Linked DNA regions of Arabidopsis thaliana. The protein of the gene in region 2 interacts with the protein of the main gene of each other region in a biochemical or structural test. Each region holds a gene or a part of one and is shown on either strand. Other genes may lie near its edges. The genes, in order: VIP2 and ABH1.

Region 1 (16,094 bases), on a different chromosome or scaffold from region 2:
GAGATAAACTAAATCTTCGCTGAAAAAATGTCGGGTCGTGGAAAGGGAGGAAAAGGTTTGGGTAAGGGAGGAGCCAAGCGTCACAGGAAGGTTCTGAGAGACAACATCCAAGGAATCACCAAGCCTGCGATTCGAAGATTGGCTCGTAGAGGTGGAGTCAAGCGTATCAGTGGTCTCATCTACGAGGAGACTCGTGGCGTCCTCAAGATCTTTCTCGAGAACGTGATTCGTGATGCTGTCACTTACACCGAGCACGCTAGGAGGAAGACTGTGACCGCCATGGATGTTGTCTACGCTCTCAAGAGGCAAGGAAGGACTCTTTACGGATTCGGTGGTTAATTAGAGTTTTTCAGATCCGCGTTTGTGTTTTCTGGGTTTCTCACTTAAGCGTCTGCGTTTTACTTTTGTATTGGGTTTGGCGTTTAGTAGTTTGCGGTAGCGTTCTTGTTATGTGTAATTACGCTTTTTCTTCTTGCTTCAGCAGTTTCGGTTGAAATATAAATCGAATCAAGTTTCACTTTATCAGCGTTGTTTTAAATTTTGGCATTAAATTGGTGAAAATTGCTTCAATTTTGTATCTAAATAGAAGAGACAACATGAAATTCGACTTTTGACCTCAAATCTTCGAACATTTATTTCCTGATTTCACGATGGATGAGGATAACGAAAGGGCGGTTCCTATGTCCGGGAAAGTTCCCGTAGAAGACAATGAGCAAAGCTACTGAAACGCGGACACGACGTCGCATTGGTACGGATATGAGTTAAACCGACTCAATTCCTTTATTAAGACATAAACCGATTTTGGTTAAAGTGTAACAGTGAGCTGATATAAAACCGAAACAAACCGGTACAAGTTTGATTGAGCAACTTGATGACAAACTTCAGAATTTTGGTTATTGAATGAAAATCATAGTCTAATCGTAAAAAATGTACAGAAGAAAAGCTAGAGCAGAACAAAGATTCTATATTCTGGTTCCAATTTATCATCGCTTTAACGTCCCTCAGATTTGATCAGCTGCGAGAAAACTTTACTCATGGAAACACCTGAACTATCATCAACACTCGATTCTTCTTCATCAAACCGTCCCTCTTTAGCTACAGAAAAGTTAACACTCGTGTCTCCATGGTTGTAATCATTGAACCGTAGAGGTAACTCACCGATCATGTTTGTGCTGTCTTCTGGATCACCATCAACGACAGCTTCTTGTAGCTGCAAAGCGTATTCAAGATTCCACAACACATCTCCCATTGATGGTCTATCGACTCCATAGTCAGCTAAACATTTCTCCCCTGTTTCACCGAACTTTCTAAGCGAGTCAGGTCTGATCTTACCCCGCAGTGACGGGTCGATGATGTGTTCAAGCTGTCCTTTCTTCTGCCATTTCATTGCCCATTCCGCTAGATTCACCATTTCTCTAGTAAGTGTCGGGTCTATAACAGGTCTCGCGCAGAGAACCTCGAACATAACCACTCCAAAAGAGTAAACATCTGATTTCTCTGTGAGCTGTTGTCTTCTGAAGTATTCTGGATCAAGATATCCGAAACTTCCTTTGACCGCGGTACTCACATGAGTCTGATCGATCTCCGGTCCGGTCTTAGACAGTCCAAAGTCTGCAACTTTAGCCATGAGATTCTCGTCAAGCAATATGTTGGCGGATTTGACGTCTCTGTGAATCACGGGTTTCGCGTCACCGGTGTGGAGATAATGCAATCCTCTTGCTGATCCAATGCATATCTCAAGACGTTGCTTCCAACTCAAGCTAAGAAGACCTGAACCGTAAAGGTGACTCTTCAATGTTCCATTCTCCATATATTCGTAAACCAGAATCATCTCGTTATTCTCGTCGCAGTATCCGATCAAAGAAACCAAATGGCGATGACGGAATTGTGACAACATTTCGATTTCTGTCCTGAACTCTGCAAGTCCTTGCTGAGACTTAGGATTCGCTCTTTTAACAGCTACTTTTGTACCGTCGTGAAGCTCTCCTTTGTACACTTTACCAAAACCACCAACTCCAATTGCTCGATTCTCATCAAAGCTATTTGTGGCCTCTTTAACTGCTACCAAAGGAATTCGATAACTGGAATTGGAAGCTATACTTGCAAGTGTAGTTCCATTTGAGGATGAAGTTGTTCCATTGGATGACAAAGGAATCCAAGTCTTTGAATTACCATCTTGGTCTCGTCCTCGTTTCTTGTACAGCACAAAGAAACCTCCTAAAACCACTAAAGCAAGCAATGAGCCGATCGTTAAACCAATGATCATACCAACATTCTTCTTAGTGGTTGAACTTGAACCACTGGGCAAAAATGTTCCAATACTGAGCTGACTTTTGGAGTTATTCATCTTCATGATCTCTAATCCGTTCAGAATCGCAGTAGGGTAATCCGTGTGAACACTCGATCGACCGATGCTCACACGGATTCTTTTAGTCAGTTTTGCTGATCCTGTGACAAAATCCATCGCGTATGCACCACTCAAAGTGTTGGATAAATAAGAGCTCAGATCAAGATTCTCAACAACATCCATAGAGTCGACATAAAGATTGAAGTAAAGCTGGTTTAGAGCTTTACTCACGATATCGCAGAAATGAAACCGTAGAAAGTACTGAAAACCCGGGTCAACATCGAAATCCCAAGTCACATTGAAGTTGCTAGACGGGTTATCCGCAGAATTCATCTCGGTGCAAGTACCATAGACAGTTCTAGGAGCAGTCTCCTCTGTAGCAAAACCAGGAACATAATCAACAGATGCAATCTTAGACACACTCTTAACTAGATTCTTCTCAACTAGAAACTCAGAATCAGGCTCCCAAATTCTCGAAAGAGTATCGTTACTAGGCGTAACACGCGGACCGCCCATGTTCACTCTATAAACCGTCTCAAGAGCTTGCCATGACAAGCCCTGAAACTTCCCAGGACTGCCTGCAAAGGAAGGATCACCACTGAACAACGTATCAGGAACCGAAACAACCTCGAGCGCGTTCAGAAACGCAAATGAATCACCCGAGGGAGTAAACGTGAGCTCCAGATGATCCGTAGCTACATTCAGAGAGTATTCCTTCATAACTCTGGAACTCACAGTGAAATCACTCAAAAGAACATGTGTTTCTGAAGAAACAGAGAATTTTGCTGAGACCATTTGGAAGTTTTGGTACTGAAAAGGATTGAAATGGAGACGAATCCAGTGACGGCCTCTAGCAACGGAGAATCTGTACTTAGAGATTCCGGTGAAGATTCTCGCCGTCTGGTAAATATCTGAATTTGAATTGCGATTACTGGCGGCGAGGATTTCATTAGGAGAGGTTAGAAAGTTTGAAGCAAGGTTATCAGAGATAAACACTCGACTAGTGACAGTGACGTTGGTTGATGATCCACAGTTGATGAGGTAATTATCCACTGGTACGTATCCATAGCAGAGGAAGATTAAGCAAGGAATCGATAAAATCCAAATCAAAAATCCAAACTTTTCACCACCCATCTTCACAAAACCTGGAAATTTTAAATAATTCGATGGGAATAGACAAAGAATCTATCAGCTAGATTCAAGGGATATACGACATGAGCAAATCAACGGTTTTGTTTTACCAAAGATGACAACTTTATAACGACAGATAAAAATAAAATCATAACGGATAAAATTAAGTAACAAAAAAAACAAATTTTTTGTACCTTAAAGAGTAAATTGTTCCATGAAAGGTACAAAAGTTGAGGATCAGCTGATAGATTGATCTCCAGATTTTGGCTTTTGTGTAATAAAATTTGGGTTTGGAAATTGGAACAGAGTAGTAACAAACAAGAGATGGGTTTTTTTGTGAACTCTGCAAACATGAATATATAAAAAGTTATTAATTTAATATTTGTGTATTAGATGCAACGACAAATAAATTGACGTGAGCAAATATAGGAGACGAAGGGATTGAATTGAATTGTCAGTCTGATTTTTTCTGATGGCTATGAAAGTTAGGAAGAAGACGAAAATTTCCCAGATTTTACCATAAAAAACTGCACAAACGTTAGTGGGTATGTTACATTACCACTTTTTAATCTGTAAAGAAATAGCGATAATTTAACTTTTTCTCTACAACAATACTATATATTTTTCTTGTTAATTATAATTATAATTATAATATCATTTTTGTATGCAATCGTCGGTTCGTCACTCACAGTCACATATGCTAAATCTCAAATATATACTTTCTTTATTCCAAAAAATTAAGGATGGTAGTGGAGGTTGGAAAAAAAGTCAACATATGTAGGTTGTGTAATTTTTTTTAAGGATATACCAAACTTCCGACCATATTTATGAAGAAAGCACGGGACACATGATTTTTTTCGGCATCTGTTCATGCATTATAAATAGATTATCATGAGTTTACTATTCCATGTTCGTTCTGTTGGAAGTTCATTTCAAGTTTTTTTTTTTTTGTCACAATAGTCTCATTTCAAGTTTTTGTTACTAGTTAATTGAGCTATTAAGTTTTATACTTAAAGTATCATACACTACTTAGCCTTGAGATTTTTCATAAATCAAAACGAAACAGAAGCTTAAAGATTTTAAATGAAATGAGGTGGTCACATACATATATGTGTCAAAGATCTAGAAGTTCTAGATTGGATATAAATGAAGAATGACGACATTAACCGCCCCTACTTTTCATCTAAATGGAACATGACATACAATAGAGTTTATCTGAAAGGATCGATAAGATGTCGCTATATTTACTAAAATTATCTATAATATGATGAGCCCACTATGTTTTTCTTGACAATTGGGAACTTATAATATAATTCTTGGATATCAACGTATAAATGATCATTTACATAATCTAGTGCTTGTGTTAGTGTCGTGTGTAATATCCAAGTTCAAGCATGTATCATATGTTGTACAAAATAGTTTCAGCCTAAAATGATATTTGTGGACCTGTGTTGTCTACCGACACATTTGTTTGGACAGTGGAAACAACAATTCTATACTATGTTAAAGCATAATCAAGAAGAATAAAATAAAAATTGGTTGAGATGTCGCAAGGAGAATGACTTTTAGATTTGTTTATATTGATTCACTTAAAACAAATACAACATAAAATTCAAATTTACACATATTAACATAAATTGAGTTGTATGTTGTGCTAAGATTACTTAGTGATATTTTAAAGCCCATGCAAAAATAACTTATCTTCTAAAGAAACGGCCTTTTTCTTATTTTTTGTAAACTTTGACAAGCTTAGATCATATGATTGAATTGCATTAATGGACGTTATTTTAATTATCTTGAAAGATCTAACGTCATTTTCATGTTAACTAAATACAAAACATCTTAGCATTCATAGCTGAATAAGAGGCATAGTTACTATTCAACACTTTTAGCTTTAACTACAACCTTCAAAACACACAATTTTGTCGTTTTGTTTGATTTAGGCTTCGTAATCTTGTAAACAGAATTCACCTACTTCAGTATTTCTTCTTTTACACTACGATTTCATGATTCCACAAAGTAAAACATCAACATCATTCTTGATTTGGAAGTAAAATTGTGAATCGTGTATCTAATGGGCCTGGTCAAATAGGCCCAAACATGGATCCGCAAATAAGGAATTTTTCTCCTTACAAAAGACACTCTTTCTGAGTAAGAAGGTTTCGTGGGGCCTGTCGTGACCTCTGAAAGTTCCCTCCATCACCAATCATTCGGCACAAAACTAATATTTATATTTTGTTTCCTTTATTTATTTTATTTAATAAAATATTTATCGATCCCAATTTTCTAAATCTTGCTTCTTCTCTCGTTCCTATATCCGTTTTCCGATTTAGGGCACCAAATTGAATCAAAATCTCCGCTTCTTCCCAATTTACGAAACTTCACGAAAAATCTTCTTCGGATTCTTCTTAACCCTTTCTCTCAATTTTTCTTCCAGAGTTTTCTAATTGGGCACTGTTTCTCTTCTTCTTCTTCTTCTTCCTCCGTACGCATCCTTCTCCTTTTTACTGTTGAGTGTGAACAGATTTAAACAACGTCATTTCTAGGGTTTTCGGAGTTCAATTTTGTTATCTTACTATTGAATTTGCATCGCGATAGCTGAATTTAGGATCCTGTGTTGTTGCTCAGTCGTATTATTACAACTGTTGAATTACGCTTGCGTTTGATTGTTTTTTTCTTTATTGGATCCTCGTGAGGTTTTTTTTTCTTGTTCTGAATCGTTTCCTGGACTTCTGATTTCCTGCTAGAAGTTTATTTCATGGTTGCTGATTCATTATCTTCTTGTTTCTAGATGAAAGTTTACTGTGTATAAACCTTCAAAGGATGAGAATTTCAATCTTACTTTGAACAATATGTAGTTTATACAGTAGCTTCGTCTGTTGTTGCACCATGGTTGATAAGATTTATGTCTCCTTTGTTTGGTTTATTGAATTCTTCCTTTTTTCCAGGCTATTCATTTCTGAGTAATCGTTTATTCCATCTCAGATTGTAGGCGGTTTCGCGTCTTGTCACCGAATGATACATTGTCTCACGTGAGATTGTCAGTCAGTTAGTGCAATGTCAAACCTTCATGTACCTTCCTATTCACCTTGAGAATATTTTTAGTGTGCTTAGGATAACGTTTGCTTAATTATGCGTACCATTTCTCATCCATCAACTCTTGTGCTCTTTCCTTTGTAGTCATCTCTCAATGGTTCAGCTTCGAATTTACCAGATGGTTCGGGCAGATCGTTTACTGCTTCTTATTCTGGACAATCTGGTGCACCGTCTCCCTCTTTTCATCATACTGGTGGGTGTTATTCTTATCTTGACCTTCTTCTATATTTTGCGTCGTTCTGAACTTATATAACTTCTACATATTCTTCATGCAGGAAATCTTCAGGGACTTCATAATATTCATGGGAACTATAATGTCGGGAACATGCAAGGTACACTTACATCAAGAAACTCAAGTATGAATAGTATACCATCTGCCGGAGTTCAACAACCTAATGGGAGTTTTTCCAGTGGAAGATTTGCTTCAAATAATCTACCTGTTAATCTCTCTCAGGTGCATGTTGTTTAAAATTTTGTGAAAAAACGGCTCTTGTTCTTAATCTGTGTCTTATATTATACGATGATTGCTTTGTAGTTGTCCCATGGTAGCTCACATGGGCATTCGGGAATCCCAAATAGAGGTCTTAATGTTGTTGGCAACCCTGGATTCAGTAGTAACGCTAATGGAGTTGGTGGTTCTATTCCTGGAATTCTCTCTACATCTGCAGGACTCAGTAATCGGAATAGTGTTCCAGGGATGGGAATATCCCAATTGTTGGGAAATTCAGGTCCTCGAATAACAAATTCAATGGGAAACATGGTTGGTGGAGGTAACTTGGGGAGGAATATTAGCTCTGGTGGATTGTCTATTCCTGGTCTGTCTTCACGACTAAATTTGGCAGCAAATAGCGGATCAGGATTAAATGTTCAGGGACAGAACCGAATGATGGGTGGAGTACTTCCTCAAGGTATATATGATTTATCGAGTCCTTTCCATTTGCTGTCTTCAAGGTTTTTTTTGCCTTTCATTTGATACAACTGAGCCGAGCCTTGTTTAACTTCTTGTTATAGCATTGTAAATAAAATAGAATATATTGCTTCATGGAGTACACCTTTTTACTGGTCTAGTAGCTAGGAGGTCCTGTGGAAAATAAGTTAGAATAATTAGTCATTTAGGGGGTAGGATTGATATCAGCAGTTGAACTTGTTTTGCTTTTGTAGTCTATACTTCTCTAGACTCACGTGAGTACGTTAGAATGTAGAGAAAGCAGTACTCTGGGATTGTTTGGACTTTGTAAGACGAGCTTGTTTACTTTACACAAAATCTTATTTAATTAAACATGCAATTAGTTAGCAGCTGCTGTATGTGGAAATAGCAGTAAAAATTTAATTGTAAAATTGTATGGTACAGGATCTCAGGTCATGTCTATGCTGGGGAACTCCTATCATACTGGTGGTGGCCCGCTTTCGCAGAATCATGTTCAGTCAGTTAACAATATGATGCTCAGTGATCATCCTAACGACAGCTCTCTATTTGACATCAACAACGATTTTCCCCAGCTGACAAGTCGTCCTGGGTCTGCTGGTGGCACTCAAGGACATCTAGGTAGTCGGTTTATCTGAAGATCTTTTGAAATTCATATACTTAATATAACATAAGTTTTTGAAAAGATTTTCCAAATCATGTCTTGTTTCCTCATACTCTTGCGGTGGTGTTTTTAGGCTCTTTGAGGAAACAAGGTTTAGGAGTTCCACTTGTCCAACAAAACCAGGAGTTCAGCATCCAAAATGAAGACTTTCCTGCCCTTCCTGGATATAAAGGTGCTGGTCTTTTATTGTCGATAACTTTGTATTGTATTGTGCATAAAGTTGGGTCTTGCAGACTTTATGTGCACGTAGTGAGGAATATCGTCTCTAGTTTCCCCTATCTTGAAAAGTTTTCCTCTATGCTATTCTCCAAAATCTCATGAAAGTCCGTTTCCAAGTTCATAAACTTCTTAGCTTCCTTCATATTATAGCTTATTGCATGAGAAAGATGATAAGATGTGCTTCTTAATGATGTAAGCTAAACCTGCTGGATCATTCACAAGCGTAGTAGATTTGTTGCAGGTGGTAATTCTGAGTATCCTATGGATTTGCATCAAAAAGAACAACTGCATGACAATGCTATGTCAATGATGCACTCTCAAAACTTTTCTGTAAGCTTTAGACTGTTTCGAAGTTAACAAAGTGTTGTCCTGCCTTTTTCTGTTGATATGGTTGTTGATGTGAATTAATGTTTGGATATTGCAAATTTGCAGATGGGTAGATCTGGTGGTTTCAACTTGGGAGCAACATATTCATCACATCGTCCACAACAACAGCCACAACATACTTCATCTGTGAGTGGCAGTCTCTCCTATCCCTATATGTATACAAGCCGGAACTTTCTTCAATTTGCATATCTCATATTATTATGGTACTGCATCATGTGGTTGGGCCACACTTGCTCCAACTACCGTATCTTATCATTTAATTCTTATTTAATACCAGACTGGTGGGCTACAGGGTCTTGGCCTTAGACCTCTAAGCTCGCCTAATGCAGTTTCCAGTATTGGTTATGATCAGCTTATTCAGCAGTATCAGCAACATCAAAATCAATCCCAGTTCCCTGTGCAACAGATGTCATCAATCAACCAATTTAGAGATTCTGAGATGAAATCGACACAGTCAGAGGCAGATCCTTTTTGCTTGCTTGGCTTGTTAGACGTACTAAACAGGAGCAACCCTGAATTGACCTCACTTGCTCTTGGCATCGACTTGACGACGCTAGGATTGGATTTGAATTCAACTGGAAATCTCTACAAGACATTTGCGTCTCCTTGGACAAATGAACCGGCAAAGAGCGAGGTCGAGTTCACAGTACCAAATTGTTACTACGCCACAGAACCTCCGCCTCTAACTGTAAGTTCCCTCTGTTGTTGCGAGTAGTACCAACAAAGTATTTTCTCGATTTTGTTAACAAATGTGTCATTATTTCCGTTTGTTGCAGCGAGCTAGTTTCAAAAGGTTCTCCTACGAGTTATTGTTCTACACATTTTACAGGTCTGTTATTAGATCAGCATTCAGCGTCACATTTGCCCAACTCCTAAATTAACCTTGGGCTTTTAAACTTATTACTTTGCTCTAATTATTGTTCCAGTATGCCAAAAGATGAAGCACAGCTGTACGCAGCAGATGAACTGTATGTTTTTTCTCTACTGTAATCTTTGATCTATTCGTTTACTCCGCTCTCTTTGGCTGAGACTTTTGAGTTCGATTGACATGTTGCAGTTACGAAAGAGGTTGGTTTTACCACAAGGAACTCAGAGTATGGTTCTTCAGAGTCGGGGAACCTTTAGTCAGGGCAGCTACATATGAAAGAGGAACATACGAATACCTTGATCCAAATTCGTTCAAAACAGTGAGAAAGGTAAGCCGACGATTATTGCAGGAATATCTATTTCCTTGTTCTCGAATTTGCAGTGTTATGAGTGAATTTTGCTGGTGATGGTTATCGCAGGAACATTTTGTTATCAAGTACGAGCTTATGGAAAAGAGACCAAGCTTGCTGCAGCTTTGACGACAAGTAGGTTTGTTCAATTAGTAGCATCTTTACAATGTAAAGCTTTTCTCTTCATTTCTCTTTCTTTCTTTCTTTCATGCAAGTTCTATTGATTAGAAACCAAAACCATGACATATCACATTTTCAATTTTTAACCCCAAGTTTCCCAAAAAGGTAATCACAATTACTTTCCATGGTCATTTCTTCTGGTTCAAGCATGACATGAACAGGCAATAAATAAGTTGAGATTTTGATCACAGTAACTGATACTTGAATCGAATCATTTAGATTTTTTTTTTTTTTAGTTTACTTGTTTAGTAAATATGTTGTCTATGTTTGTCACAAAAACGTGGCTCAGTTCTTGTATATATGGAGACAAAAAAATCCATTAAAAGATTGTTGACATTCTCGGAAATTTAGTGCCAACTGTTATTGCGAGAACTTACTATAGTTTTCCTTTGGCGAAAAGCTAATAATCTTAAATCTTGATTTTGTCCTCTTTTCTCTGAGTTAGATTTTCTTAAATTCCACTTCCGACCTATTAAGAAATGGGCTTTTGCAAAGAAGATCCGCTTCACTGAGCCCGTATCTCGAAGAGGATAATACAACAACAAAGCAAAACGGCACGTAGTTTTAATTGTAACCAAGGATTGCATTTCGGTCTTGTTTCAACAAACGAAACTTCCTGAAATGCCAAGAAAAATCTGGTCATTTCACCACAGTGATCATTGTGTATGTGTTCTAAAGACTCCAAGCGAAGGTTTTAGAAAAAGGAGCATTTTCTATTCTATTCAAGAAACTCGAAGAACATTCTCTCTTCATCCTCTAACTTCCCTATAAATATGTCCTTTGCTAATCAGATCAAATCAGCAGGAAAATCAAGAACCAAAAGTCTCCCGAAAAGCAACGAACAATGTCTCTCATTCCAAGCATTTTTGGAGGACGCAGATCAAACGTCTTTGATCCGTTCTCGCAAGACTTATGGGATCCATTCGAAGGATTCTTCACGCCATCTTCTGCGTTGGCAAACGCTTCAACCGCTCGTGATGTGGCAGCGTTTACAAACGCAAGAGTGGATTGGAAGGAAACGCCGGAGGCACATGTGTTCAAAGCGGACTTGCCAGGCCTGAAGAAGGAAGAAGTCAAGGTTGAGGTTGAAGACAAGAACGTTCTGCAGATTAGCGGAGAGAGGAGCAAGGAGAACGAAGAGAAGAACGATAAGTGGCACCGTGTGGAGAGAGCTAGTGGGAAGTTTATGAGAAGGTTTAGGTTACCGGAGAATGCAAAGATGGAAGAAGTGAAGGCAACAATGGAGAATGGTGTGCTTACGGTTGTGGTTCCGAAAGCGCCTGAGAAGAAGCCTCAAGTCAAGTCCATCGATATCTCCGGGGCTAATTGAATATGAAGATGAAGATGAAATATTTGGTGTGTCAAATAAAAAGCTTGTGTGCTTAAGTTTGTGTTTTTTTCTTGGCTTGTTGTGTTATGAATTTGTGGCTTTTTCTAATATTAAATGAATGTAAGATCTCATTATAATGAATAAACAAATGTTTCTATAATCCATTGTGAATGTTTTGTTGGATCTCTTCTGCAGCATATAACTACTGTATGTGCTATGGTATGGACTATGGAATATGATTAAAGATAAGATGGGCTCATAGAGTAAAACGAGGCGAGGGACCTATAAACCTCCCTTCATCATGCTATTTCATGATCTATTTTATAAAATAAAGATGTAGAAAAAAGTAAGCGTAATAACCGCAAAACAAATGATTTAAAACATGGCACATAATGAGGAGATTAAGTTCGGTTTACGTTTATTTTAGTACTAATTGTAACGTGAGACTACGTATCGGGAATCGCCTAATTAAAGCATTAATGCGAACCTGATTAGATTCACCGACCCTCCTATCGTGTCGACCTTTCTGTTTCTTAGAATTTTTTGGTAGTCTATGTACTAATAATGTCAGCTTCGTATTTATTTCATAAGCAATTTGCATTTGCAATTTGTTTTTTACTTTTATTTTTATTGTATTGTGGAATGTGGACTCGTACCAACATGAAGTTATATACCACCAAAAAAATTACAGTTAGTCAAAAGATTCACGAGTGAGAGCTACTTATGATTGTCTTTTACGTATATGTCTAATTGTCTATTTGCTCAATAATCTTTGTACTTTCTTTTGTCGTTGATAAAATCACAAAGTTCCAAAAGTAATCGAATGATTTGCTTTTAAGAAAAGAAGAGCTCAATAATTCAACATATATCTGTACACACATAATTGAATAAGATATTCGACACATCAATCACTATAGGTTACATTATAACCACACAAATTAAAGAAAAGAAAAAAAAAAAACTAATATCACGAGATTCTCATTCAATGACTACTACGTCCGCCACGAGCTTTACCCGTACTCGACGAACCAGTTCCGGATCCGGATCCGGATCCAGACCCACCAGCTGTCGAAACACTCCCTGAGCCTCTAGACCCAAAGTAAAGATCCGAGAGGTAATTCCCAATATCTTCAGGGGTATATCTGGAAATAGCCTCATTATCTCCAACCATACCATATGCAAACCGGTTCATCCGGTAAAACTCGGTACAAACCAGCATAAGTTTCTGACTCAACGTGATTTTAATCTGGTCCCTAAGTTTCGGGTCGGGTATAACCCACGAAGTCTGTTTCCGGTACGACGTCTCAAACTCATCGTTGAATCTCGCCACCAAAACCTTAGCTTCCTCCGGCGAAATCTCATCCGTCGGAATCTCCGGTAGTAAATCCAGCACTTTCCCCCACGCAAGCTTCTCAAACTTATCAGCATACAGCTTCACCTTCTCTTCATGCCTAAACACCCAATCGTCTCCGAGAAGAACCTTCAGAGTCGACGATCGGACTTTAACGACGACGTATTGGAGATTGTTAGCGAGGAAGAGATAAGACAAAGCAACGTCTTTATACGGCTGAGCTTTACCGTCGATTTTACAAAGCGTGAGTAAAATCACCCAAGCGATACGTACAGAGACCGGAGACGAATACAGATCCTCCGGATTCGCTTCATCGCCGCCGCTTATGTATAAAGAATCCGGCAACGGCGTCGGCACACTCAGCTTCCAGTTTTCGAATATCGCAGCGATGGAATCACTGTAATCAGCGAGGAAGGAGAGGTAATTCATAACGTAACGAGTCAGAGGATGAACACCACCACCGATGATCGGAGTCTTCGAGGTTTCTTTCTGAATCGCCGATTCGAAATCCGTCATCATCAACCTCGTCGCATCGCCGAGTCTAGCTAACGAGTTTATCACCTGAGATCTAACCGCAGCAGCTGATTCGAAGTAGAAGATTGATTCAATCTCAACATAGAGATTCGCAAGAGCTTCATACATATCCAGAAACCGAAACATTTTCTCCGGAGTTAACTTTTTGATCTTGGAAGCATATTCCGGGAAAGTGAAGAGAATCAATGCTCCTTCTTGAGTAATCTCAGTGAAAGAAGATTCAACGATTAAACCAGAGGAAGAGAAAACATGATCAGCTAAAATCCTCTCACCGAAGAACAATTTTCTAACAGCTAATTTCACAGCTTTTAGCCATGTTTTGATCTTTGATTCGAGAATCTCCCAATCCATTTTCTGAACCTGATGAAGATTGAATCTCTCCATTTGCAGATTATGCAGCGTCTCATCAACAATCGATTTCCGTACGGTTTTATAAACCCTAACGCATTCCTTAGCGTAGCCGGTAGAGATCATACAATCAGCAATCATCTTGAGATCATCCATTGCGTCGGAATCTCCACCGGAGAATCTATGCTCTTCGTCGGCGTTTTCTTCGTAACTGCTTTCGTCTTCGGAATCGGAGACACTAGTCGTAGTCGAAGTACTGAATCTCGATGATCTGTAAGAACGTACAGAGACACATTCAGGATCTAAATACTCACGGTTCGCTTTTAAAACACGATGAAACTCTGATTCGAGAAGCTTCATCGCCGATTGCATTAGATTCTGTGCGTAGATTAGCTTCTCCGAGGAAGGGTTAACGGAAACCAAACGATGCATCGTGCTTTGTAGATGTCTAACGGCTGTAACAAACTCCTCTGCTTCACGACGACTGTTGGTGGAGAAGAGGAAGTCGTCGGAGGAAGAAGCAGCCGGAGAAGTCCATTTTGATATGACGGTGTTGATGTTGCTCATACATTCTTGAACAGCTGATTCCGCGAGAGAGAGATGAGCTGTTGGTTTCTCCGGTGGAGGAGATGATCGGAATAAATGCTTCCCCATTTTTGTGGTTTGCTCTGTTTTTATTTTTTGGTACCGTCTCTTTTTATGTGTGTGAAGAAGAAGGTACTCTGTTTTTTTTTTTTGGTTACTCTTTAACAAAAATAAAACTTCTGGTTTGTTGTTTGTTTGTTTGGTTTTTGTAATCAAAAAGTGAAGTAGATAAGATGAGGAAGGTGGAGGAATGAGCTATATATATTATAGAAACGACGGCTTTTTCAATGAAATATACGTATATGCGTATATGTGAGTGTACGTATAGATATGTGGAGAAGAATGGTTGATTAGTCAAACGCGGTGTCAAATAAGACAAGACATTGGGGAAAGTCAATTCTGACGAAGTTTTTATTTTTACATTTATTGCTGCTTTCATCTGCAGCTGTGAATTTTGCATAGTTTACCGTTTTCGAAAAGAGGTGCTATTAAATACACTAGTAGTAATTCACCAACCAAATTACCAAAATATCACAAAAGGTAAATCTGTAGGATTCGTAAGAATTAATGTTTATATCCTAAAACTGTCAATATTAAATGTCACGAAATTGCAAAACTAATATACCCTTAACTGAAAAATCCTTGGCTTTGATTGGGTTAAGTACTAAGTAAGTACGTCATCTATGATCTATGATTCTTGGTTAAACAATAAACAATTAGTTTGAGAGAGTTGTTGAATATAAAATATATATTATAAGTGATACGATGATCTTAAATTCTTGGAAACTCTCGTGCACAAATCAGGACAGCAAAATTTTGTGTGGTATGAATTTTAGAATAAAATGAATGTTAGTACGTGTGTTACAGTTAGTTTTTATCAGTATTGTATTAATATATTTAACGGATGTAATGGAAAAACACAATTAGCTTTTTTTATGATACAAACTGTTAGTTAGCTTTCTACTAGATTTGTATTTTTGGAACCGAAGATTTTGAGGAAGGTTCCTTTGCCTTATAAGTTGAAAATTGCGTACTGCCGCCACATAAATGAAATCAACAGTTTATTTGTTAACAGATGTTCAAAGATCCTAAATTGCCAAAACACGACTACTAATTCATAGTTTTCTCCATCTCTTTAATTATTAGGGGAGAAGAGAACACAATACAAAATTTCCCATCTTAAACCATTTTCAGTAGGTTTCATCGGTGTCAAATATAAATCTAATTAGCAGTCAGATATTAAATCAATTTAAAGACTCTTGCTTCAGATTTTAAAATATTTTGTACAGTTAAATATGTTCCCAATCAAAATTTTATTGTGAAGTTAAAACTATTCATAAACACACAGCAGATGTTGAAATTACATCCTAAATTTCATAATCATATTCAAAATCATAGAAATTTAAAAGTTTAATATAGGATAGAAGTTAAAACTTTCACTGTCATTTTAATTGTGTTTAGTTAAGAATAGATGAAAACAACAAGACTGGAGACAATACGGCTCTTGATTCGGTAAAATTCTGATATTGTCTAAGCTCTCTAGTCTCAAAGCGATTTCATAAAATGATATAAAATTACCGTAATCAACCGACCATACTTTTAACTAAAAAGATAATTCAACCGACAATCAAACGAAACGGCAGTTACCAAAATTCAACGTGAGGAAGGTAGCATGATAATATATGCATGTAAATTATGTGTTTGAAGAATAATTATGTTATTTTAATCATTGTTTCTGAAATTAGTTTGCTAACGGAAAATTGCAATAATTTCTCTTTCT
Region 2 (16,961 bases):
CCGGTCTCCAGTTCAAGCCTAAAACGCGAAGAAACTCGGTTCAATTTTATGATAAGCTTCAAAAAACTTCGAGCAACTCCAACTCCGGGGAAGCTCCATCACGGACGACACCGAACTTGATGTAGTCGGATCTTGGCTCTAAACTTCATGAGCCAAAGGAGATGATGAAGATATTACTCTACGAGAGGATGGGCAAATCAGTTGAAATTTGAAGAAAAGCAGAGTTTTCAATAGGCTAGAAGAAAGGAGATCAATCTCGCGAGAGCGAGAAGACAAAAACCCGGACATAGCCGGTAGGAAGAATCCGACATGAAATCAAAATTTATTTAGATCATATATAGATAAGATTATAAACAGATCTGGTTAGATCCTTTTTGGCGACATGCTTTACCTTTCTGAAAGATCTGGAAGAGTGAAGAGAGGTAAAGTTCTTATGGTAAGAGGTCGCCGGATTTTAATTCTAAGAAACCGGAAATCACCTTCTCTCTCTGAAGAATAGATGTGAGAGAAGAGAGAGACGCTTCCTCTTCGATAAGATTTAGTCTTAGTGTGTTTAAGGTCAAAAAGATTATTCAACTTTTGTTATAACTATATGAGTACCCATGCTACGCATGGGTTTGTTTTGAAAACTATTTAAAAATATTTAAATTGATTATTCTTTTTAGTAATTTATGTTTATTCTTTGTTTATTCTTGTATTGTTAATAAAATTTGATTCATAATATATAGTTATAATTTTTATGGTTAGATTCATTTGTGATTCGAAATATTAATTTATATATTTTCATATATAAAGCTGATTATTTATAAGATTTTATTATTTTTTCACTATCATGAATACATATAACAACAATATATGATATTTTGATACAATTATGTATAACTATATTACTTGTTTTGTTTAAAATTTGCCTAACTCGATTATAAATAAATTAATTCTTTGTTTTATGTACTTCAACAACATTGTGATAGGCTCATGATTAAAGTTTAGATCGACATCAACTGAACAAGATCTGAAGAGTATTTGTATGAAAAAAATAAAAAGGTAGCGAAAATTGAATATTATATAAGTCAATACTTTTGGATTTTCTGTCATTGCATATATCAATATTAAAGAAATGATCGTGTCTTGGATGATTAAAAAATTGTCTAACTTGATTATAAAGAAACTATTGAAATTATTGAAAAAAATAGCCCAAAAAAATACACAGTCATATGTAAAACCCTAAAAAATCTATTTTACAAACATGAAAAATGGATAATACCGGGTTTTGCCCTAATTCCTAAGCTATAAATACCGAGTCTCGGCCACACAATTATCGTCCAGTTTCTTTTTTTCCTCATTAGATAGTTTTGATATTATGATTTTTTATATAGCTACAAATTTTTTTTATGAATCTAGTTGTTTATTGTGTGCTTGTGTTTGATAAATTGGTGTTTATATGATATTACTGATTTGTTTATTTTATTTTTTGAGTTCCATGTTCGTTTGATTGTGTCAAATAAATAACTTTTGGGTATCATCTAAATAACTTTTCTGGTATTTTTTAAAAGAGATGAAGATTTTTTAATAATGTTTTAGTTGTTTTTAATTACTTATTATTTTGAGTTATATTTTGATTCTGTAAAAAGTATTTATGGGTCTGCCGCATAGGCAGACCCAAAGAAGATTAAAGGAAGTCAGCTGGTCCCCCAAAGTTCAACATTTGCATTATAACCCTTTAAATTTTATGATATTATTTATATTTCTTCTCTTTTGATCTTCTTAAAATTACAAATTCGTATGTAAACTTTTTAACTATTATCGTATTTTTTTTCTACTTTGTGTTTTGACACTATTTCTTACATGTTTTCCCGATCTTTTTGTAACAATTACGTGCAATCCTAAATGGTCTGAAGTCGTGCGTTACCTAGCCAGGCACAAGCTTAAGCGAGAAGATAGGCCTGATATCATTTGCCGAGTTTTTAAAATGAAATTGGATAGCCTTATGCACCAAGTGATAAAAGAAAAGACGTTCGGCAAGTGATAAAAGAAAAGACGTTCGACGATGTTAACTGAGGTACCATAGTCCCTTTTGAAGTTTATAATTCTTGGTTTTGGTTGATATTGTGTTCATATTTTAGTTTTATATTTTATTCATATTATGAATAAGCTACCCTTTTATGTTTCAGCCATGTATACAATAGAGTTTCAGAAGCGAGGATTACCGAGAGTATGATCATTCGTACCTTCGTGATCCTGTTTTTTGTGTTTTGATGTTTTGGCATGTTGAAGAGTATAAAGGTATTGACTTATATTTATTCATTGTATTTTCTAAAAACGGTAGAAAACATCACTAATTTAATATTTTACAGGAAAACCATGTCTCATGAATAGAGTTGAATGCTCTAAAATTTTTTTTCACCCGGAGTTTTACGAACTTGAGGAAATCAAAAACTGGTAATATTCAGCATTTAAATTCATATATTGTTGGATATACATAATCCATACGTCTAATGACCTATTAAATTTATATATATAGTACACTCTCCACCGCTTATGCTTGGGTTGCTACGAATTCAAGATGTTCCGGTTTGGATGATTGAGTGATAATGAAAATTTTCTACAAAAATGATCGATGAGTATTATGTTGTTATGGGTTTTAAGGAATGTTTAAATACTCTGTTTTAGAGACGGTTTGTTTGATCATTTGTAATATTATGTAGAATTTCCAAATCTCATAAATATGTTCTATCAATAAAAATTAAAAATTTATTTCAGAAAAAATTCTTGGCCACGCAAGGCGCGGGTAACTCCCTTAGTATTTCTTAAAGCCTTATTATTTTGGCTGTAGAAATTTTAGATATTCAGATTTTTATTTTCTCTGTCATCTATTATAACGTATTATATACTTTTATTTACATTGTCACTATGATATATATACGTATATATATACTAACTATTAAATAAATATATATATTTTATTACAATAATAATAATAAGCTGAAAACAACAACGTCAAATATACACATCACCATGTATATTATATAAAATTATATATTGTGCATATATACAAATTTCCTCCTTACTCATGTATATTATAAGTAATATTTTGAATGTTTATATTAATGTTATAATAGATACTTTATTAAAAAACTAAAATATAATTTTTATTACTGATTTCATATAACTATTTCAAATAATATTTTTTAAAATTATACAATAATGACATATAATAAATAATTACGAATCATTTTTCATTTTCTTTATAAAGTTACTGCCAAAATTTTACAGCAAAAAAAAACTAAATCTACAGCTAACACATCTACAGCTAAAAGCTTACAACAATTAATTTACAGCTACAGCCTAACCAATCACCCACTGTTAAGTCACATTAAATTTTAGTCAACCTTATATTAACAAATATAAAACATTCATTTATAGTAATAATAAGAAATGAAAGAGTAGTTCAAATTTGATATTTTTCTCCACAAATATATATCATATAAATTGAGTTTTTCATAAAGATCTGAATTTTTTTTAAAAGAGAGGCTATTTTTCTCAAGTGAATATAATGGATGTCACAAAAACTTATGTGACTATTTTCGTTGTAGCGATATTGACAATTTCGGTTTGTAATTACAACATCTTGGCAACACAAGGAATGTTTTTATTATTCAATTTACAGAGATTATTAATTTATCGAATATTAATTTAGAGAGGTTAACTGTTTTTTTGATCATTTGAAGAGCAATGGTTAAACATTATCTTTTCAGAAATTAGAAAAATGTTTTCATGGAATGTCTTACATACACATATATATATATATAACTTGGGTTATAAAATTGCAGTGATCCAAATCCAACAATATGATCGTTGCATTGGGCCATGTTTGAGATTTTACGGAAATCATCAATGTTACAAAAACTGTAGAAAGGCGAAGTATGATGGAGGACAGTGTGATTTTGTTAAAAAAGGTGAAAAATTACCAGAATGTTGTTGCTATTATAACAAAAATTGATACTCATTGTAGTAACCGGCTACTTGAGTCTTGAGCATTATGTTTGTCTTCAACTTCTTAGTATAATAAATTTCTTACAATAAATTAATATTGTTACTCATAAGCAGACAATTTTATAGTACGGTTGCTCAATTGTGCTCAAATCGGAACATGCAGTTCCCTTTTTGGTAAATGAAATGCTTTCGATATTTGCGTAGGCCACTCTGAGAAACGAGCTCCAGAAACAAGACTGGTGTTAAAAGTTTAAACTCTTGTTTTTTGACTCTTTTCAATTTCCTAATAACTTGATGTCAGAATCAGAATCTCATAACAAAAAACAAAAGAGACAGGTTTGATTGAGATTGAAAGAGGAAGATTAATGTAATGGGAATTGAAGTGCAGAAGATATGGCTTGGAGAAAGAGAGGATGCACATCTTCACCCGAGAACACTTCTGACTCCAACTTCTCCATGTGAGGCCATATCTACAAGAACATGGTGAAACAAGTCAATATTCAATCTACTAAAGCTCTTACAACAACATCCCAACTATTAAGTTATTTTTTACCTCGCTCGCATATTGCCTTGTAAATGCCGTGAGATAGCCAAGTGTTGATAAGCACCACTGTTCTCTCTCACCGACTTCGCAACTCTTCTTTGGGTTTCCATTCTCGCTGTCCACGTCCATCGCAGATGGCTTGTCATCTTCAGCACCTATAGATTTTAGATCCTGCACTGATCTCACTTTAGTTGGATCTGGGAGCCGTTCCTTCAGTACACCTAAGAAACTTTGGAACAGCAAGAGCAGTAAAACCTATGCACAAGTCAACTCAATTAGCTTTTAGTAGATAAAAGGAAATAATAAGATCATGTGCTGCATTAAACTAATATATAATACCTCGGTCTCAGAGAGAGCTCTGTTAAGAAGAGCCTCTTTTGCCTCTAGGGACTCCCGAAGAGATAACTCCGCTTCCCCTGTCTTCTCCACTGTTGATTTTAAACGCTTCATCTTCGCTGGATTCTCACCAAGAACGGGTTCACCTTCCACTAGGGAAAGTTTGCTCTCAGCAGCCTCCAACTCTACTCGTGCATTGGCTGAAGCTTTCTCAGCAACCAAAACATTTTTCGTAATGTTTGATATATCTTTCCTCAAATCAGAGATACGGTTATAAGTCTTGTTAAGAGCATTGCCAAGTATCTGCAGAGACAGAAACAGATTTACGAAGATAAACAAACTTGCTCTGCAGAGTGTAGAAAATAAATATACTTCTGTTAAAACGCAACTGACCTCCCATGGCTGATCAGACACATGAAACTGATCAACATTTTCTGGAGAGAACACCCATCTAACAATTGCCTGATTAGATACTAGTCTATAACCCATCATCCTATCAATTGCCACCGCCGTCATTTGTACATTGTTTTTCCAGTATGTACTCACTTGAGATAATAGCATCACCTGCTTATCGTTATCAGGACAAAGCTTTGAAAATACTTGGCCATATCGCTCCAGGACAGTGACCAAATGAGTGAAACTTTTTGATCCGATGTCAAGTAAGGTCTGTACAACTATTGTAAGAGTAACTTCAAAACCATGAACTGGATATATCGTTTCTTCAATCCACACTATCATGTCACGTGCGGTTTGTTTTTCCTTGACCTTCCTGCTCAATTCGGCTGACAATTGCTGTTCTTCTGTTTTCTCTTTACCTTCTTCCAAGGAATACATAAAATTCGGACCAGCTTTTGGAGGAAGTAATTCTTCTAGGGCAGTCGCATTCTCAATGCTCTGTTAGACACACATAGAAAAAACAATATAGCCTGAGGAAGGATATCTGATGCTTAAGTTTGGAATGATATATCCATGTGGATAACAAGATGAAACATTGATCCCCCACAAAATGGAATAAGACAAATAACCCTAGGCTAAGAGAAAAGTATATCTGATGCTTAAGTTTGGCAGCTATTAGGATATCTGACGATCTGTTACCTGCTTAATTTTATCCCAGTAAGACAAGCGTACTTCTCTTTGCAAAATCTCCTGAACAAATACACGCTTAGGGGCCCACTTGGGAAGATCCAACACAAAAGCCCACTCTTCCCACGGCCAGATGAATTGGAAGTTGGATCTGTTAAGCATGGAGTTATCAACATGAGAGTAGAGAGCAAAACGAAATACGTAATCAACTTCATGTGATGAATAACATATTTCTCAATTAATCGAGAAAGTAAGACTCAAACACGACCACTGTATCATGTAAACGAATCGTCAGTAATGCTGACTGAAAATCCATATTTTATGTTTCAATAATCCATATTTTATAAGCTAGGTAACTTTCTAACATATATGGAACATTCACCAAACATTCGACAATAAAGCACCTTTTCCAGATTACAAAAAATCAAGAGGTAAGAAATATGAAATTATATACTTACAAGTGGTGAGAAAACCAGAGGATAAGACGCGTCCTGGATTCCATGTCTAAGTCGGATATTTTCTCAAATAGTGCACGAACAGCGCCAGCAACAACAGCAGGAAAGGCACCCGGAAGAGCCTAAATTAATTGAATATTTGGAATCAGGTTGAAAAAAGAAATAACAGCAGGGATTTAAAAACCATCGGATGAACAGTATAATCCTTTGTACCTTACAAAGATCCATAATCACGAGTGTATAATAAAGAGTCTTGAATGGTGGCTGGGGTAGCAGCAGTATCTGAAAAACAGTAGATACAATTGTTATATTTAAAAATCACAGATCTTGGAATTAATTGGTATAATCTGCCAGAAACGTATGCTTTTATATTACAACGTGAATACTCACTAGAGAGATAATCCCAAAATTTATACAACAGAAGTTACCTGAGAAAATAGTGTCTCTGCCATAAGATACTCGTACCGAAATGTAACAGGAAGATTAGCCATGTAGGATGCACACTCCTTCCGACTAGCTTTGCAATAAATTAATTAGTGAAACAAAATTCTATATAATTTAAGAAGGCAAACAAAATTTAGTAACCAGAAAGAAAGAGACTTAGCATAAGCTAAGATGTTGATTAGAAAACATGTATATGCTAGGCAAGTCTACAACCATAATAATGACTTAAATAAGTATATGCTAGGTTCAACTAGATACTCAACGCAAAAACACTAGCCCTTAGTAGTAGCCAATTAGTCGCCCAGCTGAATCAGTGACCATATTATTCAAAGAGTAAGTCATGAACTTAGATTAATACACCATACTCTAAGGTTAATAATTTAGAAAACACGTGACTAATTTGCTATGGTTGGGGGACAAAAACCAAGATCTACACCAAAACCAGCATGAATGGACGACCACTGTGCAAGAAAAATATAGAAGAAACATACAAAAACGTCAAAAGAACACAAGCTTTGGGAAAATACACACCATCCATTCAAATAGAAGAGCACATCCAGCAAATACTCCTCCACGACAAAACGATCAATTGGTTGTACATCCTGCGAGTTTGATAGTTACAGAATCAGAAGAAAGGGTAGACAAAGAAAAGGAATACAAAAGGACACCATATAACCCATATATCAATCTACAAATATAATAGGTTAGAAAAAAGAAAAATGTTGACGACTGAAAAGGTAGCAAGTATAATAAGCTTCCATTAGCATGAAATATGTCCTATTCAGATAAACAATGACATCAAAAACCAGAATATTACCTCCATTTTATTAGCTGGAAATATATTCAACCTACGAATTCTCTGGGGATATCTCGTCAATGCATCATGCTTTTGCTTGCCACTGTATGCCCTCGAATGATCAGAAGGTGGACTCGGTTGTTCCATACATTTAATGGGACGTAGCTCATGAAACTTTCCAGCAACGAGTTGAGCTTCAAACGAGAGATGAGGCCTAGGTACTAGCACATTGAATATGCATGAAATTGTCAATTGTAATATACAACTAATATCTCTAGTCATATGAACTGATCAATTTGTAAGTCAAACAAGGTAGATAAGGATATTAAAAGAGAGGGTTCGTAGAAGATTGCAATCTTGTAATACAAAGAGATATGAGAAGTTGACAAAATAAGCATACCGCTTTCAAGTTTCCATCCATTGGAAGCCAGAGACTGAATTCGATCCAATAGATCCTCCACGAAATCCTAACGAGACACAAATGAGAAAGACGAATGACGCAGACCAAAAGTTATCACACCATGATACAAAATTCAACAGATATCTATCTCAAACAAAAGCAGAAATGAAACGTCACATCCATGCATCTTATTTATACATTTGCCAAGACATCTACCGAAACAAAATCAGAGGGGCAGCTAACACAAAGCAAATACAACAACTTCAAGAATTAAACACTAAAAGGCAAACCTTCTCTGCAAGGCTGCTTTCAAATTCTCCGTTGTGAAAAAAGTTTAACCCAGAGGTGGAAGAATTCTTTCGGATGCTCAAATAAGCTTGTATCCCAACTAACACTCTTTCAATCTCATCAGGAACTTGCTGCAAACCAAAGGGAAATTCAGCGGCCATACAAGTTAAGATAATAGATATGAAAGCAGACTAACAAAGTTGGTTGCAGATCCAACAAGGATGACATCATTATAAAATTGGAAACGCATATCCAGTATTCTAATAGCCTTCAATGTAAATAATTTCTAGAATGTATTTAGTCCAAGAGCAGTACCTCAGCGAGTTCTGATCCTCCCCACGGGAGGCTGGACAAGATGCATATAACGTAAAAGTCAGCTTGTGGCTGCCATGATGGATTTCCTTTCTCTTCATCCACAGTAGTGGCAGCAGATGATAGCAATGTTTCGAAGACGACAATCAAAGAAGCAGGTTGAATAACCTTACTGCACAACTAAAGAACCCAACTAAAACATGTTAGAAAATAGACAAAACATCTCAAAATTTTCACAAATACTGTTCTATATACTTCGCACTTTTATTTTTTAGACGCTTTCTGTGTATTAGAAACATGAACTAACATATTAAATAGACGAAGCAACCATGAAACATGATTAGCAACCATACCAGGGAAGTCATAAAGCGAAGCAATATACGGATACTGTTGCAGTTGCCAGAATCTAAAGCGACCTGGCATGTTTGACCAAGAAAAACAGTCACATTAGAAACAAAAGTAACTGAGAAAACTTATGTTATCAATTTATCCTTGGCCTTTGATGTACAGATTAGATTATTCACCTGGAAATTAGCGTGGACACTTTCTACTAGCTTCTGGACAAAATCTTCATTCTCCAAGTTCAACAAACCAATCTTAAACATGTGGAAAGACATCCATCAAACTTCGAAGTATGTGTATCAGATTAAATCGAACTAATTTATAACAGGGAACAGGGTATCTCAGTTCAAAAATAGATCCAAATGCTACTTACACAGATAAGAATTATACACAGAAAATATTCAAGCATTCTTTATTACTCAGAAGTTAGCAAATATTGATGAATACTATGAATAAATAGATTCCTACAACATGTTATATATGATATAATAGACACAAAATGATCCACCTTAAGGGCATTTCCACTATTATTTGTGTTTCTGAAGTGTTCATTTGTTTCAAGTTAAATGCCTTCCGTTATTGCTTCGAGCTAATTATTCTTCGATAAGAATCAGTTCACAGATACCATAACATACTCAATCAAAACCTCCACATATATAACACATCTAAATGCAAGCCCAACATCCAACACATACCCAGAAATGAAAAAGCCAAGGTAACTAGTTTATAAGAGACTTACCAAAGTCCCATACAAAGGAATCTTATGAGGCAATTGTTCAGCACATTGTAGTAGAAACTGTTAAGACGAAAACAAAAATAATGAGAACACACAATAATAATATCCACAGAGATACATCACAACAGATCCTAAAATTGAAGGCTCGAAGTCACTTACAGGCAAAACTTGATCTCCAGAACGCTCGATTTCTCTACGAATGACACCGAAACAAGTCTCCTGTATATAGAGAATCGGAAAAGTTTTGAGTAGTGAGAAAATTAGGGTTTAAGAGCGAGGATGAATCGAGAGAGAGATACTGACGATGTGGTCTTTGTAGTCGGAGGAAGTGCCGTACTCAGGTCCCTTTTCGCCGATGCGAAGGAGAAGAGTTTTCCAATTGCTCATCTTCTTCCGAGAGGTTTTTCTTCAGTTCGTCTCTTTGTTGTTTCTCCTTTGGTATCAGTCACTCTGCCCTAGTTTTTTTTTTTATGTCCGTGTCTCGTCAAAACTAATTTTTTTTTTTTTTTCTCATAAGTGTTGTCATCTAAGAAAAGGAGTTCACAAAAAGAGTTTGACAAAAAGTTTTTCTCTCTCTTCTTTCTCTTAGTAGCTGAAACTAGCCGTTAAAACAATAGTCGTCCCAGTTAATTTGGAGCCTAAAGACTTTTCTCTCAGGTGTTCTATTCTGAACGGAGCTTCTACCAGAAATATTTACGTGTTCGGTCCGGTCTAAATTGTTGTTTTCTTCCTCGGATTTTTGGTAGTTCTGACTCTTTCTCTGTTACGAGAGTTTGCTTTGTGATTCTCAGTTCTGTGTTGGTTATCATCTGAATTACTCGGATTTCTTCACTGTTTTTTCTCTTGGAGTTTGTTTCCTGCAAATCAGGTTTGACGAGTTCGGGAAAGTTGTTTACTCTCTATCAGGATCTCATCATGGAGCTGGATAAAGCCATTCAGAATATGTCGATTTAAGACAATAAGCCTCTGATTCTTTCTGATCAACCGCGCTTTTGTTCAATTAACAGAAACAACTGTCGTTAGTTGGGTAGGTTTTTGAATCTAGAGAATCAAAGGATGTCTAATTGGATATTAGATATGCCACGAATTTGGAGAATTTCTTCTCGGGTTAGAGGTGTTGCTCTCTCAAAGGATCGATTCCAATTTTTCTTCAAATCTGAGGAAGATTTAGAAGAAATTATGAAAATTGGAGTTTGGACAGAAGATAAATTGGGGTGTAGTCATGGATAGATGGATTGAGAATCCTCCAATTGATTATCTGAATTTTCTTCCAATCTGGGGTCGAGTGAGGAATATTTCGGTGAACTATTATACTCAGGACACAATTAAAGAGATCACGAGCTGTATTGGGGAAGTGAAGGAGGTGGTGATGGACTCTGAAAAATCACAGTTTCAGGACTATGTTCGTGTTCGGGTTTTGTTTCATGTCGCCAATCCACTTCGTAACAATAAAGAGGTACAACTTCCATCTGGTGAAGTTGTCACAATTTCTTTTGACTATGAACAGATTAGAAAGAGATGTTTCTTGTGTCAAAGATTAACTCATGATAAAAATAGATGCCCATCCAAAGTCTTAGATTCCATCAAACATGATGTGAGATCATTACAAGAGAAAGGCAAACAGAAGAAGATGTTTTTACCGAGGCTGGCTGAGTTTCCCTTTCAGTCAATTGCTCCCAAAGGAAGGGTAGATGCTTTGCCAGCAAATCCTCTATCAGCTACTGTTGCAATTGATAGTCATCCAGAGAATACTTTGTTAGCTGAGATGCTAGATTTGGACATTAGTACTGGATTTACCACATGTGTTGGTGAGGCTAGTTCCTCCACTTCAGGGTTTAAACATCATATAATGCAGGATTTCACTCCTTTTCAGTTCAGGAAAGAAAAACTAGTTAATGAGCTGTCTCTGAAGAATAAGGTTATTCAGTCTCCTGCCTCTCCTCATTTTGAAAAGGTGTTCAAAAGGAAAAGAAAACCCTCAGACATTACAGAAGCTCAAAGTTTCAAGAGAGACAAGAATACGGTGGTTCCAAGTGAACCACCGTTGGATCAGTAAGGCGTCCTTAGTTGGAATTGTCAAGGCTTGAGGAATCCTTGGACAATTCGACACCTTAAGGAGATGAAAAAAAATCATATCTCGGACATTTTATTCTTCATGGAGACTATGAATCCTGACGAGTTTGTTTCAAAAGTTATTGATTGGCTTGGTTATAACTATATGTATACAATAGAACCTCAAGGGAGAAGTGGTGGCTTAGCAATCTTTTGGAAAAGCCATTTGGACATTGAGATTCTTTTTGATGATAAACATCTTTTGGATCTTCAGTGTTCTTCTAGAAATAAAGTATGCTTTGTTTCTTGTGTTTATGGGCATCTGGTGACATATCTTAGGCCTTAGGTTTGGGATAAGTTGTGTAGTCTTGGATCACATCGGAAGCAAGCTTGGTGTATGATAGGTGACTTCAATGATATTAAGTCGAAAACGGGAAAGAGAGGGGTCCGAGAAGAGTACCTTCTTCGTTTCAATCTTTTCAAGACATGTTGAATACTTGTGATATGCATGAACTAGGTAGTACAAGCAATGGCTTTACTTGGGGAGGGACTAGAAATGGTCAATGGATTCAGTGTAGATTGGATAGATGCTTTGGGAATTCCTCTTGGTTTTCTTTGTTTCCAAATTCTCACCAGTGGTTTCTGAGAGATTTGGATCTGACCATCGTCCTGTTTTAGTCAAGTTTATTAATGATAACGAGTTGTTTCGTGGACAGTTTTGTTATGACAAAAGAATAGCTGATGATCCTTCTTGTATTCAAGTGATTTCCAACTCTTGGACCAATGCAATGTCTCAAGGTTCTCACTCCTCTATCTTTAGTCTTATTGAATGTCGAAGAGCTATTAGTGTATGGAAAAAAATCAGCTGATACTAATGCTTAGAGTAGGATTCAAAGATTGAGGAAAGATTTGGATTTGCTGAAAAGTTATGAGTTTCCAAATTGGCCTAGAATTGCATATATTAAAGATCAATTGGGTCTTGCTGATGAGGATGATGAACTCTTTTGGAGACAGAAAAGTAGTCAAAAATGGCTGTTTGCTGAAGATAAAAACATTGGTTTTTTCATGCTTCTTTGAAATCTTCTAGATTAGGGAACTCTTTGAGCTTCCTTCTGGATGAAAATGGACAAGAACACACCAGGATTAGTGAGAAAGGGAAAATTGCTTCTTCGTTCTTTCAGCATCTTTTTTCATCTTCTTATCCAATAGGCCAGGATAATTTTTTGAATGGTTTTCAAGCAAAGGTTTCATTGGATATGAATCAACAATTAACTCAAGATGTCACAGAATTGGAAGTGTATAATGCAGTGTTTTCTATTAATTGTGAAAGTGCTCTAGGACTAGATGGATTTACTGCTTTGTTCTTTCAACAACATTGGGATTTGGTTAAAACTCAGGTCTTAAGCGAGTTTTTTTTTTTTTTGAGAATGGTGTTATACCACAGGATTGGAATCACACTCACATTTGTCTCATTCAAAAAATCACAAAACCGAGAAGTATGTCGGATTTAAGACCCATCAATTTGTGCTCTGTCTTATATAAGATCATCTCTAAGATCCTCACTGCCAGATTGAAAAAACATCTTCCAAGTATTATCTCTTCAACTCAATCCGCTTTTGTTCCTCAAATATTGGTTTCTGATAATATCTTAGTGGCTCATGAACTGGTGCATAGTCTTAGAACTAATGATAGAATGTCAAGAGAAGAGATGGCCTTCAAGACTGATATGTCTAAGGCATATGATAGGGTTGAGTGGGTTTTTTTGGAAGCTATTATGAAGGCTCTTGGTTTTGACAGGAAATGGATTGCCTAGATTATGCAGTGTGTAACAACTGTTTCTTACTCTGTGCTGATTAATGGGCAACCTTATGGTCACATTATTCCAGAAAGAGGTATTAGACAAGGTGATCCCCTCTCTCCAGCTTTGTTTGTTTTATGCACGGAGGCTTTAATTCATATTCTTAATGAAGCTGAAAAGAAAGGAAAAATTTCAGAAATTCAGTTTCAAGCTGAAGGAATATCAATAAACCATTTGTTGTTTGCTGATGATACCTTGCTTTTGTGTAGGGCCACAAAGGAAGAATGTGAGGAACTATTGAATTGTTTATCTAATTATGGTCACATTTCTGGCCAACTGATTAATTTAGATAAATCTGCAATCACTTTTGGGGCCAAAGTTGGTGATGATCTCAAGAATTGGATAAAACATCGGTCTGAAAAATTTCTTTAGAAGGTGGTTTACCTGACTGTTTACGGGGTTCTAAAAAGGAGCTGTTTGGATTTATTAAGGAAAAGCTACACACTCGTTTGACAGGCTGGTATGCTAGAAAACTATCTCAGGGTGGCAAAGAGGTTTTACTCAAATTTATTGCTCTGGCTCTTTCTTTATATGCAATGACTTGTTTTCGACTGCCGAAGACTTTGTGCAAAATTTTGACCAGTGTGATGATGGATTTCTGGTGGAATACTATGCAACAAAAAAAAATTCACTCGATTGGATGGAAAAGGTTAACTATACCTAAGGATCAGGGAGGGCTTGGTTTTAAGGATCTGCAATGTGTTAACCAAGCTTTATTAGCCAAACAGGCATGGAGATTAATTCATGAGAAAGAAAGTCTCTTTTTCAAAGTTTTTAAGAGCATGTATTTTTCCAACTCTGATCTTCTTACTACTATTAAAGGAACTAGGCCCTCTTATGCTTGGAATAGTATTTTGTATGGTAGAGAATTACTCATTCAAGGTTTAAGAACAATCATTGGGAATGGGAATCAGACTTATGTTTGGACTGATAAATGGTTGAATGATGGACAAAATAGAAGACCAATGAATAGGCAGCTTTTAATGGATATTAAGTTGAAAGTTAGTCAACTTATTGATTCTGTGTCTAGAAATTGGAATCTCAACATGCTTAGAGATCTGTTTCCTTGGAAGGATATTCAGTTGATTCTCAACACAGACCAGTGGTTTATAAAGAAGACTATATTTGTTGGGATCACTCGAATAATGGTCTTTATTCGGTTAAGTATGGGAATGATTTGATAAGCAAGAAGACTCATAATCAGTTGTATCAAGAGTCTGAGGTTCATCCATCTTTAAATCCATTGTTTGCTAAAATTTGGACTTTAAAGACAGTTCTAAAAATTAAAATCTTCCTCTAGAAAGTTTTAAAAGGGGCAGTTGTTGTTGAAGACAGACTCAGAACTAGAGGAATGATTATTAAGGATGGATGCTTATTGTGTGATGAAACAATCAATCATATTTTGTTTCAATGCCCTTTTGATAGACAAGTTTGGGCTCTTTCTCATTTGTCATTTTCAGGCTTTGAATTTTTGGGTTCTGTTTATGCAAACATAAGCTCTTTGTTTGATTTACCACAAAGACATGATATTCATCATCGGTTGAGATTGTTGGTCCTTGGATTATTTGGTTTTTTATGGAAAAACAGAATTAAATTGTTATTTGAGGGTATAGGATCAATGACAGTTAATCTAGTGGACAAGGCGTTTGAGGAATGTCATCAATGGTGTTTGGCTCAGGCTCATAGTCATGAAAATCATAAAGTTTTGCCCTCTCAGAAATGGATTCCACCTCTGCCAGATGAATTGAAATGCAATATCGGCTTTGCTTGGTCTAAGAAACATCAACTCTCAAGGGCATCTTGGGTGGTTAGAGACTCACACGGTGAGGTTCTGCTGCATAGTATAAGATCTTTTACTCAGGTACTATCTCTTTTTGATGCTAAGATGCAAAGTTGGGAATGGGCTTTAGACTGTATGTCTCATCATCATTTTGATAAATTCACATTCGCCTCATCCACCTATGACATTATTCAAGCTTTGCACAAACCAAGTGAGTGGCCTAATGTTTTGGGTCATATTACTGAGCTTCTGCTTCTCACTAAAGACAAGCCAAATTAGTTTCTCATGATGGAACGTGCTCACTGTAATAGAGGCGCTTCTGACATAGCAACAAGTGTGATCACAGGTTTCAGATTTCAATCTTACGTGGCAAGAGGATACCCTTTGTGGATGACAATGGTTTTACTGCAGAGAGAGGTAATTAGAATGGTGATTGGGATATTTTTGTGTCTTGTTAGATTTTTTAAGTTTAATGTTTCTTTAGATTTGGGTTTTGTTTTTGCGGCTTCTTTTTTTTAGCCTTTATTTTATTAATGTTTAACTTTAGGTTATTCATTTTATAGTTCCTTTCTTCTATTTATACTTCTTTGTTAGAGTCTTTTATATCTCAATTTCATTTTCTTCCTTCATACTCTGAGTAACATGGCGGATAAGCTGTGGGATGAGATACAAAACCTTGAGTTAGGTCCGGAGGATCCGACTCTGTTTATTCCACATGAAGCTTATGTTATGGTGGCTGAAACCAACAGGCTGAGTATAATAGCAAGACCTCTCAATCCACGGGTACAAAATCTCTACTCTGTTATTGCTGCTTTACCAAGATCTTGGGGTTTAACAACTCATGTTCATGGAAGAGTTTTAGATGCTACGTATGTGCAATTCCTGTTTCACACAGAAATGGACTTGGTCTCAGTACAAAGGAGGGAACCATGGCTTTTTAACAACAGGTTTGTTGCATCTCAAAGATGGGAGCCTGCTCCTGCTTTAAACTTTGTCACTACCATTGATCTTTTGGTTCAGATGCGTGGTATTCCCCTTCCTTATGTGTATGAAGAAACAGCTTTAGAGATTGCTCAAGAGATTGGAGAGATTATCTCTTTAGACTTTCATGATGCTACTTCAACTCAGATTGCTTATATTAGAGTCCGGGTTCAGATTGGTATCACCGAGCGTCTAAGGTTATTTCAACGCATCACTTTTGAGTCAGGAGAATAAGTTGTAATTCGGTTTCAGTATGAACGATTAAGACGTATCTGTAGTAGCTGTTTCAAGTTCAATCATAACAGGAACTATTGTCCTTATCTTCAACGTCTGCAGAGCATTGACCGGGAAAGAGCGGCCTTTCGAGATAGTGTTTTAAGGTCCAGTTTAAACTCTCAGTCTCAGATGACTGCTAGTTTCTTGCCTGCTCCTTGAACTCCACCTCCAAGGGTCCCAGCTCCTCCATTGAATCCAGAAGAATTAGCAGGTGCTAGTCCTTATTTTCCAAGTTCAAGAAATGCAGCTTTCCAACCTTACATGGTTCCTTCTACTCAAGGAGGT

Evidence for each region.
Region 1: the proteins of ABH1 (region 2) and VIP2 form a complex in vitro, tested with the Arabidopsis thaliana proteins (one study listed by BioGRID).

Annotation. Positions count from the first base shown.
Region 1 is NC_003076.8:24,051,622-24,067,715, forward strand, and holds VIP2 (VIRE2 interacting protein 2), read left to right. Parts: upstream 1-5,756; 5' UTR 5,757-6,535; coding exon 6,536-6,550; intron 6,551-6,658; coding exon 6,659-6,767; intron 6,768-6,849; coding exon 6,850-7,028; intron 7,029-7,109; coding exon 7,110-7,482; intron 7,483-7,925; coding exon 7,926-8,120; intron 8,121-8,236; coding exon 8,237-8,335; intron 8,336-8,623; coding exon 8,624-8,712; intron 8,713-8,814; coding exon 8,815-8,895; intron 8,896-9,046; coding exon 9,047-9,457; intron 9,458-9,545; coding exon 9,546-9,598; intron 9,599-9,695; coding exon 9,696-9,737; coding exon of another isoform or gene 9,738-9,759; exon of another isoform or gene 9,760-9,801; intron 9,802-9,826; coding exon 9,827-9,965; intron 9,966-10,055; coding exon 10,056-10,115; 3' UTR 10,116-10,461; downstream 10,462-16,094. Other genes in the region: AT5G59690 (Histone superfamily protein), read left to right, coding at 28-339; AT5G59700 (Protein kinase superfamily protein), read right to left, coding at 992-3,481; HSP18.2 (heat shock protein 18.2), read left to right, coding at 11,011-11,496; EXO70H7 (exocyst subunit exo70 family protein H7), read right to left, coding at 12,479-14,383. UniProt on the Arabidopsis thaliana protein: Transcriptional regulator required for Agrobacterium-mediated stable genetic transformation by T-DNA integration in host genome, but not for T-DNA transient expression.
Region 2 is NC_003071.7:5,630,208-5,647,168, reverse strand, and holds ABH1 (ARM repeat superfamily protein), read right to left. Parts: upstream 10,286-16,961; 5' UTR 10,117-10,285; coding exon 10,033-10,116; intron 9,949-10,032; coding exon 9,889-9,948; intron 9,790-9,888; coding exon 9,733-9,789; intron 9,248-9,732; coding exon 9,176-9,247; intron 9,068-9,175; coding exon 9,005-9,067; intron 8,832-9,004; coding exon 8,655-8,831; intron 8,471-8,654; coding exon 8,342-8,470; intron 8,119-8,341; coding exon 8,052-8,118; intron 7,873-8,051; coding exon 7,673-7,872; intron 7,458-7,672; coding exon 7,387-7,457; intron 6,925-7,386; coding exon 6,840-6,924; intron 6,694-6,839; coding exon 6,625-6,693; intron 6,534-6,624; coding exon 6,415-6,533; intron 6,108-6,414; coding exon 5,969-6,107; intron 5,768-5,968; coding exon 5,267-5,767; intron 5,177-5,266; coding exon 4,877-5,176; intron 4,793-4,876; coding exon 4,547-4,792; intron 4,464-4,546; coding exon 4,356-4,463; 3' UTR 4,103-4,355; downstream 1-4,102. Other genes in the region: AT2G13542 (defensin-like protein), read left to right, coding at 3,554-3,614, 3,831-4,000; AT2G13510 (Ta11-like non-LTR retrotransposon), read left to right, coding at 16,062-16,597, 16,850-16,961. UniProt on the Arabidopsis thaliana protein: Component of the cap-binding complex (CBC), which binds cotranscriptionally to the 5'-cap of pre-mRNAs and is involved in various processes such as pre-mRNA splicing and RNA-mediated gene silencing (RNAi) by microRNAs (miRNAs).